Linked DNA regions of Drosophila melanogaster. The protein of the gene in region 2 interacts with the protein of the main gene of each other region in a pairwise test. Each region holds a gene or a part of one and is shown on either strand. Other genes may lie near its edges.

Evidence for each region. The genes of interacting proteins can lie anywhere in the genome.
Region 1: the proteins of Lcp65Ag1 (region 2) and AstC-R1 interact in a two-hybrid assay, tested with the Drosophila melanogaster proteins (one large-scale study listed by BioGRID).
Region 3: the proteins of Lcp65Ag1 (region 2) and CG5618 interact in a two-hybrid assay, tested with the Drosophila melanogaster proteins (one large-scale study listed by BioGRID).

The regions. Positions count from the first base shown.
Region 1 is NT_037436.4:18,558,503-18,563,283, reverse strand, and holds the start of AstC-R1 (allatostatin C receptor 1), read right to left. Parts: upstream 3,027-4,781; 5' UTR 2,580-3,026; intron 1-2,579.
Region 2 is NT_037436.4:6,134,183-6,137,258, forward strand, and holds Lcp65Ag1 (Lcp65Ag1), read right to left. Parts: upstream 1,093-3,076; 5' UTR 1,032-1,092; coding exon 913-1,031; intron 852-912; coding exon 653-851; 3' UTR 515-652; downstream 1-514. Other genes in the region: Lcp65Af, read right to left, coding at 2,198-2,396, 2,455-2,558. UniProt on the Drosophila melanogaster protein: Component of the cuticle of the larva.
Region 3 is NT_037436.4:20,352,309-20,357,158, reverse strand, and holds CG5618 (uncharacterized protein), read right to left. Parts: upstream 3,240-4,850; 5' UTR 2,934-3,239; coding exon 2,754-2,933; intron 2,360-2,753; coding exon 2,172-2,359; exon of another isoform or gene 2,030-2,171; intron 1,855-2,029; coding exon 879-1,854; intron 815-878; coding exon 626-814; 3' UTR 527-625; downstream 1-526. Other genes in the region: kin17, read right to left, coding at 1-262; eRF1 (eukaryotic translation release factor 1), read right to left, coding at 3,605-3,714.

The DNA of each region.
Region 1 (4,781 bases), about 12 Mb from region 2:
GTATTTTTGAGGGACTTTTTTGGATATTTTTTCGTTCTGATTAAGGAAAGAAAGTGAATTTTGTTTTGGGAAAGCATGAAGGATTGGGATATTAACAACGGTCTAATATTTCAGAACGGTTTCCCCTTTAAGTGAAGTTTGTGGGAATCCCTTGTGCGTTGACTAATTTCCGAGGAATTTCTGTGCATCCTTGGCCATCAATTTGTTGTCAGCAGCTGAGGAGGCGCCACATCAGCATCTCTGGCACTTGTTCCGCCATTTGAATCCGGTGCTCATCCTCTCCCAGTTGGCTGGTCCCTTCTCCTACTCTTTCCCCTTCCCTTTCCCTTGCCAGTGTCCTTGTTCTTGGCTAAGTCGGATCCTTTGAGTTGGGAGGAAATGCTATCATTTGGTGCCTGTCATCGTTGTGTTCGTTGTTGCTGCTGTCTGTTTGCCTGACGCCGACGAAAGGTTAAGGCATGCATCGCTTCCATCAAATTAGACGCATTTTCGACGCGCTTTGTCTGCCAGGCCCTCTCTATCTAGCTCAGTCGTCCGTCTCTTTCTCCCCAACTATGTCTGTCTCTCTCTTCCACACTTTTCCCTACACTTCCTTTACCCACTTTGGCAATTTTCTAGCTGACGCCGCTTTGCCTTTACGTTTTATCACTTCATTTGCACTGAAATGTCAATGTCTGGCTCGTTCCTTTCCCTTCCTTTTTCAATACCTTTGCACAGACTGTTCCCATTTTCACTTATTCAATGGGTTTTAATAAAAGTCCGGGGTGTTTTATACATTTTTTCTTATCTTAACCACATTTTTGCCAAATGCTACTTGGTATCAGAAACATTGACAAAATATGTCACCAATGGTGCAAACCTATAATGAAAGACTACAATTTTTAATGTCTATTCTGTTAAGATCCTTGATTTAAAATTATAAAATAAAACGGATTTAAAAGTGTACAATTTATAGTTTCAAGCTAAAAAATTGCATACTATATCAACTTGATTATAATTCATTTTTAAATGCAAAAGTAAAAGCAAATTAAAACACTTCCGATTTTATGTATGTAATGTATAAACTCACGAACAAAGATTTGTAAATTATATAATTAAAGGGAATATCTGATTTGTAAGAGCAATCCCAGCCTCGTCGGACGCCCAGTTCAGTTTCAAAGAGCATGGCCAAAAAAGTCAGGAAGGAAGCAGTTTTGTTGCAATGACGTGGGCGGTATTTTTTGTGGGTGGGCAATTGCTGAGTGTGGGTGTGTAGGAAGCATTGGATTGGATTGGATGGGAGGGGTTGTGTCCTGGCGCTAAAAGAAATCTGTCTGACAAATTACACGCCCCGAGTTGCAGAGTCGCAGCAGCAGCTGCTGAAACGCTTCGTTTGCTCCTCCTCCGTGACTTGCTCCTTCACTTTCGCCTGCTGTTTGCGTTGTCTTCCCGTGCTGCTTCTAGCTCCACATTCGGACTCAGGCCATCAAACCGATTGACTGAAGGATTGGGCCAGGGCACGTCATTCACTCAGTTAGTCCGTTAGTCAGCGAGTGCAACGGCCTTTTGATTGGGCTTTATGGTCATGGGGTGGCAGTGGCTATCTCCGCCTCCTTGTGCCTTTTAGTTGGTCTTGCGGGGAGGGGGTGTTCGGTTTTAGTGGACTTTACTTAGCTGGATGAGCTCATTCGCCGGGTTATCTGGTGTGAAGGGGGAACTACGGAGGCTAAAGGAACTTGAGTTTCATAGCTGAACAACATAGAGGGCTTCTATAAAAATTGTAAGTAGCTCATAGCTTTGGTTCTGAACCACTTGGTTAACTTTCTCATAATAAAATGGGAATTACTTACAATTAAATCAAGTTTACAAAATTCCACACCCCTAGGAGTAATGAGCCAATAACAAATAATTTCTGCTGCACTTTAATATGTATGCAGGATATTTATTAAGAAAATTACTTGTGGCCTTGGCATTTCTTTTCTTAAATTGGCATTTTTATTCTGCACATCTCACATAACGAATTAATCAACATGTCTCCGTAACAATTTCTGCATTTATTCTCAGCATAGCACTTCTCTGAATAACATTTACGACCATTCCAGCATTCCCTAATTTGTCAAATTTTGTTTCGTTTCCCCAAAATCCTTTCTGGTTTACTGCGGCTGCCGTCGATGGTCAGCCCTTCTCAGTTTCCACATCATCGGGCATCCTCGTTCCTCAACCCATCCCATCGCCTCGTAGGAAGACCAACCTCTTTCCCTCAACGCAAGACATTCAACAGTTACAAATTGCTATTCGCACAGAATTTCAGTTATCTGATAAATTTCAACGCACACAAACATTTGAACGTTGAAAATGGAAAACCCAAGCACAGAGCGAAAGTATTGCAAACCCTTCAAGTTAAACTATATTTATATTTAATTTAAGTTCAAAAACTAGAATTAGGATTATATTTATATGTAGATGAGGAGAGCTTATTTTTTATTTACTATATAGTACATACATATTTCTAATCACATTGGAGATAGATAGCACCCAATCGTTTTAGATGTGCACACAAGGCAACCCGTTCGATGCTCCTCGAGGCACATTTTGCTTACCACTTGAATATATTGTGTCATCTAGCCACTCATCCTTTCGAATCCGATAAAATGGCACACCACGCACTTTTCGGGGTTTTCAAAATATTTGGCAAGCGTTTCTGCAATTCCTCGGATTGCGACGCTAATGTTATTTTTCACTCTACGTCGGATTTATTTGTGATTCGACGGCGGCTGGTAGTAAAATTATTTGTTTATTTTCCTTGCGTTTTTGGCCGCTAATTTGGATTGGATGCAGGCAGCAGGAAAAGCCCCCGGGGGTTATCTATCACCCGCCCAACTTTTTCGCCACTCTCACCCTATTTGGTTTGAGTTTTTCGCGCACGTTCATCGAATTTGGTCTTTGGCGCTGGCGAAGTTTTTGTTTACTTTACCCTGGGTTTGCTCGTAGTTTGGTTTTATATTATTATTTTAGATTCAGATACAGTGACTGAACTGCACGTTCCGGTGTTGTTTTGCATACTGCGCGCCGCATTTGCCGGCGAATTTTGTTATGGTGCATGCGAGTTTTCCGATGCGAATTTTCCGATGCGAGTTTTCCGACTGCAGAGTCGCTCGGATCCACAATTGCGCTCGGTGCTCGGCTTTCAGGTTCGTCGCCCGATTGGCCTGATGCCTGATGCGTGTTGCGGTCTGCTGCCGTTTTCCCAGCTGCAATTTTCCTCAATTAACAGTTGGTCGGGAGAGCACGCGGTGAGGGAGACTCTCCCGCCGACACTTTCTCTCTTATACGAACTCTCACTTTCGTTGGCCAACAACAGTCGAATGTTAGCGCTTGCAGTTCTGTTGCCATTTTGGGCAAGTGCTTGTTGATTCTACTGGTGCCATTTAGAAGGATATAAGAACAAGGATTATCAAAGTATAATATTGAGATGTGTTGTCGCTATAGGTTAATCAAAACTACTTCCATGTGTTATCTATCTCATGCTAAAACAAGAAATTTTAAAAAGTTTTACCTTCCTTTGGTATCATGCTGTTATAAAAATTATTTCCAGTTATTTTGGACCTAAATTTAATTACTCTAAATTTAACATATATTAGCGAGCATATACCCTTATTTTATCAGATTTATAATTCCTTATAATTAAAATGTTCAAAATCGTTTATGGGATGGCTTACCGGCCGTATACGTAATGTGTTATTTATACTTTTACCAAATTCCAATAACACAAATGTGTTTGCATAACATATTATTTTCGGCACAATTGTTTCGTAGTTCAGGTATGGCACTGCATTTAAAATTATATCGGTATTGGGACAGTCAATGTTATAATTATAGTTGCAAATGTACGTGTATTAGCTTGAATTCGGAAAGGCTTTGATTGCTGATTGATTATTCTAGCCTTAATTGCATGCATTTTGCATACAGTTGTTTGCAATAATTGAAATCAGTAATGACATGGAAAGGAGGACAAGAAATGCATGCTCTCACAATTTACTTAGGATATGATATAGCAAGACTGTGCTATATCATATATATATTCTTAAAAACATTAAAAATATGTTCTTGCCTCGTTACCAAACATCACACTCGATATAAATCATTCATACATATTTTTTCCAAAGTTTACAAAGTTAGTTTGCAAATTTATCAGATATTTAAATTAAGTTTGGAAAGTGATTGCGTTTCAGATACCAATCTTTAGTTTCCTCCTACATTTTTTGGGTAAATAAATCATATCTCAGCACTGCCACCGTCTCAGAGCTCCAACTTAAGAAGCCCCAGGCGTCGAAATCTAATTGCCGTGCACTTGGAAAACTATCCACCTGGCCCAAACCCGGAGTTATCTCCCTTGCTCTGTTGGTCATTAGAAGAACAGGAAATTTTCCGTTTTTGTTCGCACCCAACTTGGAAAGAAATTTGCTGCAATAATTTCCATGTGGAGCCAGTTGATGTTTTCGTTTAGAAAAAAGTTCGACTTGGTTAGATGACAGTGAAAAAAAAGCTGGCAAACATATGGTAAGAGTTGGGGGATATCTAGAAGAAACTTTGGAAAGAGAGTGACACAGAAAATATGGCAACTGTCGACGTTCTTCGGAGTCAAACTTTAGTTTGGCCTTTTGAGCAAAACTTTTAATCCTTCTGGTTGAATTTCCGACAGTTTGCTTTAATCCTTTTCCGTTGGCACTGAAAAGTGCTTTAAATGCGACCGAAATTGGGAGATGTTTATTGTTTACCATTCCTCAAATCGTAAAAAGTTT
Region 2 (3,076 bases):
TTTGCGAAAAACCTTTTTGCCACGCCTACTTTAACGCCCTAAAGCAGCCGAGTCTGTCACGCCCACATTTTAAACAATTTTTAAATTTTTTCTCATTTTATTTCATAATATCTATCGGTATCATAGAAAAATTATGAAATTTCGCGTTCGCATTCACACCAGCTGAGTAAAGAGTATCCGATAGTCGGGGAACTCCACTAAGCATTCTCTCTTGTTTTAGATAACAGCTTATCATATATGATGAACTGTTGTTATGTCAGGTTTAGTTCTCAATATTATTGATTGATTAATCTAAACACAGTTCTCAAAAGTCTATAACTTCTATTACTTATAACTTATAACTTCTATATCACAATAAAACTATAGCACTTTGAATATTGTTTTTAAAATAGACCATTGGGAAAAGCTATATCTTAAAAAGTATATTTATATTTTACGTAAATTATCTTATGTTTATAGATAAGTGATCAATGATTTCCTGCTACAATTAATTCCCATTTAAAACAAATTACTTCATGTAATAATTTTTTCTTTAATAACACTTTAGGCTTATTGATTTAGATTCTGTTCTCCTTGATAAGAACGGTAATAAAGGTTTTCTATTTCCTGTTAACCGACATTAAAAAGGAACTAGTTAAAAATGTTGAAAAACTTATGCCACGGGGGCAACGGGCAGATGAGCACCCTGGGGCTGGAATCCGTTCTTATCGGCGATGTAGTTGACTTGGTAGGTCTGGCCATCATCAGCAATGAAGCGGTAGGATCCACTCACAGAGATAGCCTCGTTCTCAGTTCCAATGTCGTTCAGCTGACCTACAGCTTGAGCAGCCTGTCCATCGGAGGTTTCCCAGCTAAGAAGGAAGTCAGTGTCAGCTAGGTATCCTTTTGGGTCATTTCTCATAGGCAACTTACTCGTATTTGAAGCTTTCGGGTCCAACGTCGGATTCAGAGCGCACGATTGTGGGTTCCTCAGCGGCAGGAGCAGCCAGAGCCACGGCGAAGAGGGCGACGAAGACAATCAGGAATTTCATGGTGATTGTTGTTTGGTGCTTAGATCTGCGGCTATCGAACAGTTCGCGACGAATGATGCTCTCTGTTGGCCAGGGCGCGTCTTAAATAGTTGGACAACCTCTCGATTATGCTGAACGCATCCGAATTAGTCAAAACATAATGTGAAAAATGTATATTATTGAGTACCAGCTATCTCTGAATGGCTTAAAACCTAACACAAAATGCAAATCAACAAGTTTAGGCAAGTTGTTCAAATTGGTTTCACTAACTCAGTTGTTACTAGCAAAAATACTCGGCTGATATTAATAACCACATGAGAAACAAGGAAAAATTATCAATAGATGGCAATCTCACAAGCAGAATCTGAAAGCGGCTGGATAAATCGGCGGGACAGTTGGCGGGACAGTTGGCGTGAGATTCTGCGGGACACGCCGGAATGATCCCTAATCACCAGTTTGGCTTCAGAAGATCCCACGGATCGACCGATCAATGTCACTGGAGGTATTCGAAAAAAAAGAAACATTTCTGTGCCGTCTCAAATCCTGCACGGAGAGGAGAGTATTCCAAGTTAGATGCGGAAGCTCAATAAGCTCATCTAGGCCCATTAGAGCCGGAGTAGCACAAGGCAGCGTCCTTGGAGTGTCCCGCTGACACCAGGTGTTCCGCCAACTTGTCCGTCGACTGTCCCGCCGACTGTTCCTCCAACTTGTTCCGCCGAAATCCCGTCGATTGTCCCCGAAGAAGCCACAGACATCATCCAAAATTAACTGGATGCAATGGGCCCTAGGATGCAAAGGTGAAACATCGTAGTGAACGCGGAAAATCAATTTTCACTTTCGCACAGAGGAGAATGCCGTACAATCTCTTTAAGCGGAGACTGAATCTCTAATTTACTCACACTCAAGTACTTAGGGATGACTCTGGATCGCAGGCTAAGCAACAAATTTGTGGAAACTATGTACGATTCGAAATAAGTTATTTATTTTTCATAAATATTGACTTATTGCGAAATGATCACATTAAAAAGCCATTCTAAAAACTTCTTTAGGAGATGTTACAATTGTTAAATAATTTTTCCGAAACTAAAGTTTCAAAACGAACATATTCATGTATCTTTAATCAATCTGTTGAGGTTTTATTCATAATTGAAGGATTTTTCAGTAAAACAATATTAACGATGGATAGCTCAAACCACGGGGGCAACGGGCAGATGGGCACCCTGGGGCTGGTATCCGTTCTCGTCGGCGGTGTAGGCGATGGAGTAAGTCTGGCCATCATCGGCCACAAAGGAATAGGTACCCTTGACGTTGAGAGCCTCCTCATCAGTTCCAACGTTCTTCAGCTGTCCGGCGGCCTGAGCAGAGGATCCATCGCTGGTCTCGTAGCTAATCAAGAGCAAAGGGTAAGAAAACAAATCCTTGTCACATAGTTCACAAAACATACCCATAGTTAAAGCTTACAGGTCCGACATCGGACTCCTGCTTCAGAATCTGAACATCGGCGACAGCCAGGGCGAAGAGGGCGACGAAGACAATCAGGAACTTCATGTTGATTTTTGGCTTATGTGCTGATCTCGAAGAGTTCGATGCGAATGATATCGATTGACTTTGGGATGAACTCATTTATACATAAATTGTGAACAAGTCCAAGGTGCGGTGACGCTAATCTAATTCGCATACTGAGCATAAAATGCATGATATTGAGTTCAGTTTTGCTTTCAACTCAATGGTGAACGTTTTTGAGTGTTGCCATTTCAGCGCTTCAATTTTGATTACATTTTATCAAATTTGTTTGAGACTAGCTGTGGAAATTTAATATTCATAGATCTAGAGATCTAGAGAGATGTGGATGAATTTAAATTAACGATACATTTATTTATTTATTATATTATTTTTGAATGGGAAATGTAGACTTCTTTCAATGAAGTCCTTTTAAAAATAAAATTCTAATTAGTAAAAAATTCAAAAGAAATGGGAAAAAGTAGGCCAGGCATGTAACTTTATGTAGCAATAATTGCTCCAACAACTCGGATTTATTTGTTAGGTATAAGAAAATATTAATACAG
Region 3 (4,850 bases), about 14 Mb from region 2:
GCTTCGTGCCGAACCGCCGGCGCAGCAACTCCATGTAGCCGTCGGAGAACTCTTTGCTGAAGCTGTGCAGGAATTTGCCAGGATTGTCCGCAAAGAGGAGCAACTGGCGCTGGTGGGACTCGCTCATCGTGTGGCACTTGAAGCCGTTTTCATCGCGGCACTGCTTCTCGCACATCTGGCAGTACCAGCGCAGCTTCTGCAGACCCTTCGATTTCATCTTGTTGGCGAGGTACTTGGGCGTACCTACCTCGGCGCGACCCATCGTAGCGTCTTTTTATGTGCGTGGTTTTACAAATAATTTCTCAACAAAAACTTATTGTTTTGATCTCACGTAAAGGTATGACCGCGCTGGGGTATAACAACAATACCCGTGAACACTTTTATCGATAGTTACTGCTGGGGGATGTTCGTGTGACCAGGCTAATATTATTTGTTGATAGCGGTAGAAAATGAATTTAAAAAACTTAATATTCATTTCTTGAAAGATTTTTATTTAAATATTCAAAATAGAGATTAAGCCGAGTTTACATAATAAAGGCGTATTTTTTATCACAAAGTAATAACTACAATGAAATGTACAATTGAACGATTTCCATTAATTAGCTTAATTCACATAGAAAATAATTCAAAGCACAATTTTCTCGCCCAATCTCTCAATTTCGTCCAAAATGAAGTCCAACTCTTTGCTTTTCAGGATGGGAAAACAAGTGAAGACCATGCGAAAGAAGTTGCCCAGATTTTTAGCTTTAAGAGGCGAGTAACCAATCATCAAAGTGCCGCTGTGGGCCATTTGCTCCTTAATTTTCGGGGCCACCTTTAAAGGAGCATATAAAAATGTGAGCTTAAATGGTCTATCAAAGCCATTGTTATTCACTTACAGTGTAAAGTCGACTCCACCATTCAGGCGTCTCCTCCTCGCTGGACACCCTCATTGCTTTCGGAATGAACCAAAAGCAGACATTGGAGTACTCGTGCTCCGGGATCACCAGTCTAAAGCGATCTCCACGCTGGCGCAGCTTGCCTTCCAGCAACCTGGCGATGTGGATGGCGTGGTCCACCATGAGTCCATACTTTCCATATCCGCGAGCCTTAAGCATTAGCCAGAACTTGAAAGCGTCGATCTTGCGGCCGCACTGGACACTCTTGTTTCCCGTATCGTAGGATACATCATAGAACTTGTCCTGCTGGAACAAATAGTGCGCCTCGGTGCTGTTGCATCTTTCCAGCAGACGGCCAGATTCCCTGGTCAAAAAGAGTGAACACTGCAATGGAGCGCCGATGGTTTTGTGCGGATTCCAGGAAAACGAATTCGCCCGCTCGAGGCCGGCAATGAGCGATCGGTTCTTGGCGGAGAGTAGTGCAGCGCCTCCCAGACAGGCGTCCACATGGAGCCACAGACCATGTCGTTCCGTCACATCCGCCGCACCATTGATATCATCAAAGGCACCCAACACAGTGGTGCCTGCAGTACAGTTGACAAAGAACGGTTCACCGCCACGTGCCTTTGCCTCTGCGATCTTCGCCTCCAGGTCGTCCAACAGCATCTGACCCCGCTCATTGGTCCTCACCGACACACAGTTGTAGCTGCCCAATCCCAGCCAGTTGGCCGCCTTCACGAAGCTGTAGTGCGACTCGTCGGAGGTAAAGAGCACCAGCGGTCGCATTCCAAACATTCCAGACGTCTTCACCTCGGGCGCGATCTTATAGCGGGCCAGAACCATGCCGTACATGTTGGAGGTGGAGCCACCGGGCGCAAAGATGCCATCGCCTTCCTTGTATCCCGCTAACTTGCAGATGGTCGCGATCACCTCAGTTTCGATCAAGCTAAACACGGGCGCAACTTCGTAGGTGTATCTGAAACAAAAGTTTATTGTGTCTTGTTGGATACCTCGGTTAAAAGTCTGATTTTGGTAGTCCTATCTAGGAAATCTCATCTAAATGATTAATAACTTGCAATGATTGTGTATGAACTCTGCTTAATCCCCATTTAAATTAATCGAAAGGGGGGGGGGGGGGTTATGAAACATACATGTAGTACTTTGCAATCTCCATTACATAGCGCAATTATCTGTACGTTGAACCCCGACACCACTTGTAGATTGGAACACGAGATGCAATCAGCGGTCACTCATATAGACAAGACACATGTGTGGAATAAGGCGCAGACTTACGTGCTGCCGTTCATGGCCTCGGTGACCAGGGCTCCTGCCAGTCCAAACGGGTCCAGCTGGCCAAAGAGCTGATTGTGGAAGCGGCCGTGCGAGGTTTTCACAGAGTAATGGATCACCTGCTGGCACAGCTCCTCGATCTCCGCGAGCGAGCAGTTTTCCGTCTCTCGAACCTTCAGGTTAATCAGTTCCTGGAAGTGATGGTGCGAAATCATGTAATCTCAAGATTGTTATAGAACAGCGACTTTTGCAATAAGAAAGTATATTAAAGATTCAACATATTTCTAAAACGTTTTCTGTTTCGAACTAATAATATCTTTACCCAGAAAAAACCGACCATAATCTATGAAATAACAAACAATTCAATTATAATTAAAACTATCAGATACTAGCATGAGTGTGCTCAATCAGGAAGTGCTACTATCAATTGACTCACATTTCGTCGGGCAAGCCATAGTACAATTGCTACAATTTGCGGTCGGGTGGTCAATTTTCGAATGAACTCTTCCATTAATCAGTTCTCTGTTATCTCTGGTTATCTCCACATCGGCAGACGCCGAATCGTCTATCACTTGCTCCACTCACCTTAAGTTTGTCTGGCTGCAAAAAGGGGACTATCTTCTGCTTGTCCCATTTCTGGGGATCCACGCAGAAGGTATCCTCCTTCCGGAGAAGGTGGAATACGTTCTCCAGGATCTTCCAGTCGTCCATGAGGCCATCGCGAATCTGGTCAACAGTCTCTGCTCCATCCACTGATTCAGCCATACTACACTCGGTCGGTAGAAGTTTCCGTATCTCAATTGGCCAGTAAAAGGCTGATTATTTTTGGCTTTCGAGATCCGAACCTCTTCCGTCGACGATTCAATCAGAAGTGCCCCGTCCGACTGCAGCAGATTGTGTTTTAATGTTATCTTGATCAAATTCTCATCAAGTTGTAAACCCTCGTCTTCGCTCGCACTCAAATGGAAATACAAATGATCGGGGCTGTAAGAACACACATACACCTCCACGCTTGTGCTCTTTAGAGTGAACCTCGTTTTATTACGAAAGCGAAATAAAAGTGATATTAAAGTCGTGCATATTTAGGTTACTTAAACATACAATATATATCAATTAAGCACGTGCCTTATTAGCTGATTCGGCTTATCTCGTAACCAAAATCCTGCACAATTCGTTTTCTTTTCATCTCGACGCATTATCGTCAAATTCAATCGAAATTTGCATATTTACCCTATCGATTAAACAAGTTTCATGTGCATGCCACCAGAAAACTTGGTCAACTAATTGGATGCCCAACACCGCAGAACTTAGCTGAGCTTACTTTTTGGAAGTCTCGCTGCAATGATTACTTACAAATATTCAAACGAGTACGGATACCTGCACGACACTGCGGCTCAGAAACGAGTTTCAGCTCACCAGATGTATCTGAGCGATTCTTAGATGCAAATCAAGGGCGAAACAAGTACTACGAGTGCTTTTTGCTGTCGTCCACGTGCATTGCCAACTAATGAAGTGGGAATCTCGCAGTAAACTGTTTCCAGTGTGCCTGCAAATAGAAAGTAGAAAATGAAATGCCCATTTCACTTTACTTTCATTGCTGTACTGGTAGTACTCCAAGTGGCTACCAGCATTTTACTTATCCAGCAGATAGCAGAGTCGGAATTTTATCAGCTTTCGGTGCAAATTTCGTTTTCAAGCTATAATAGAACGATTAAAACTCACAGATACAATTCTCCTTGTACCCAAAAACTTTAGGAAACGTGGCGTATTGTCAATGTAGATTTAGATTTAGATTTATAGAGGAACAATTAATTATATAACAAGAGCTCTAGTCCCTCGAAAATATATTCAAATTGCAAATTTGTTCACGTAAAACGGTTGCATTTTAATATGTTTTCCTCGATTTAACATTTTATCGTTTGTATCTATATGCATTATTTAAAATTTTACTTTTTTCGCCAACAACGTAAAAATGGAAGAAGGTTTGTGTTTTCTCATATTATTTAAATATTCTATTTGATTTCCTGGATTCATATAGTTGTAGTTGCAGTTCAGTTTGCGGTCGAACGTAGTGGCAAATTCATTTCTACAGATACATTTCCTAGTAATCATCTAGATCGAAGCCATCATTGTCCAATTCATCGAGCTGCATACTCTGGAAATCCACCTTGTAGCGTAAGATACCTGCAGAGGCACACCCAGCAATTGAATTAAATTAAAATAAGAAACAAAAAAAAAAAAAAAATAGAAGAACAGAAGCTGATTGAAAATTGAAAAATAAATGAAGAGGAAAAAACAAAAGGATCAACACACAGGATAGTTCAACCGAAACTCAGATTCTCACCTCCTTTGTATCCACATTTAACTTTTCATACACTAAATAAAATATTTGTTGTACTTCGCGACTGAATATAAACGGATACCCCATCCTCATTGTGTGGTGTTTTTATTCTGGTTTAATTTTTATTACAATTTTATGGATTAGATTTGTATACTTTCTTATAACACTCGGCTATAATTTGAATAGGGGAAATGCAGATACGTTCGAAAGTGGCATGTGGCAGTTAACCGAAGATCTTTTGCTCCTAATACCGCAGTCGAAATCGAACCAGATGAACGGAGAATGCGCTAATATCTATCGCATCGCTTTTACATGACCATTGAAATACAAATTACGAATTA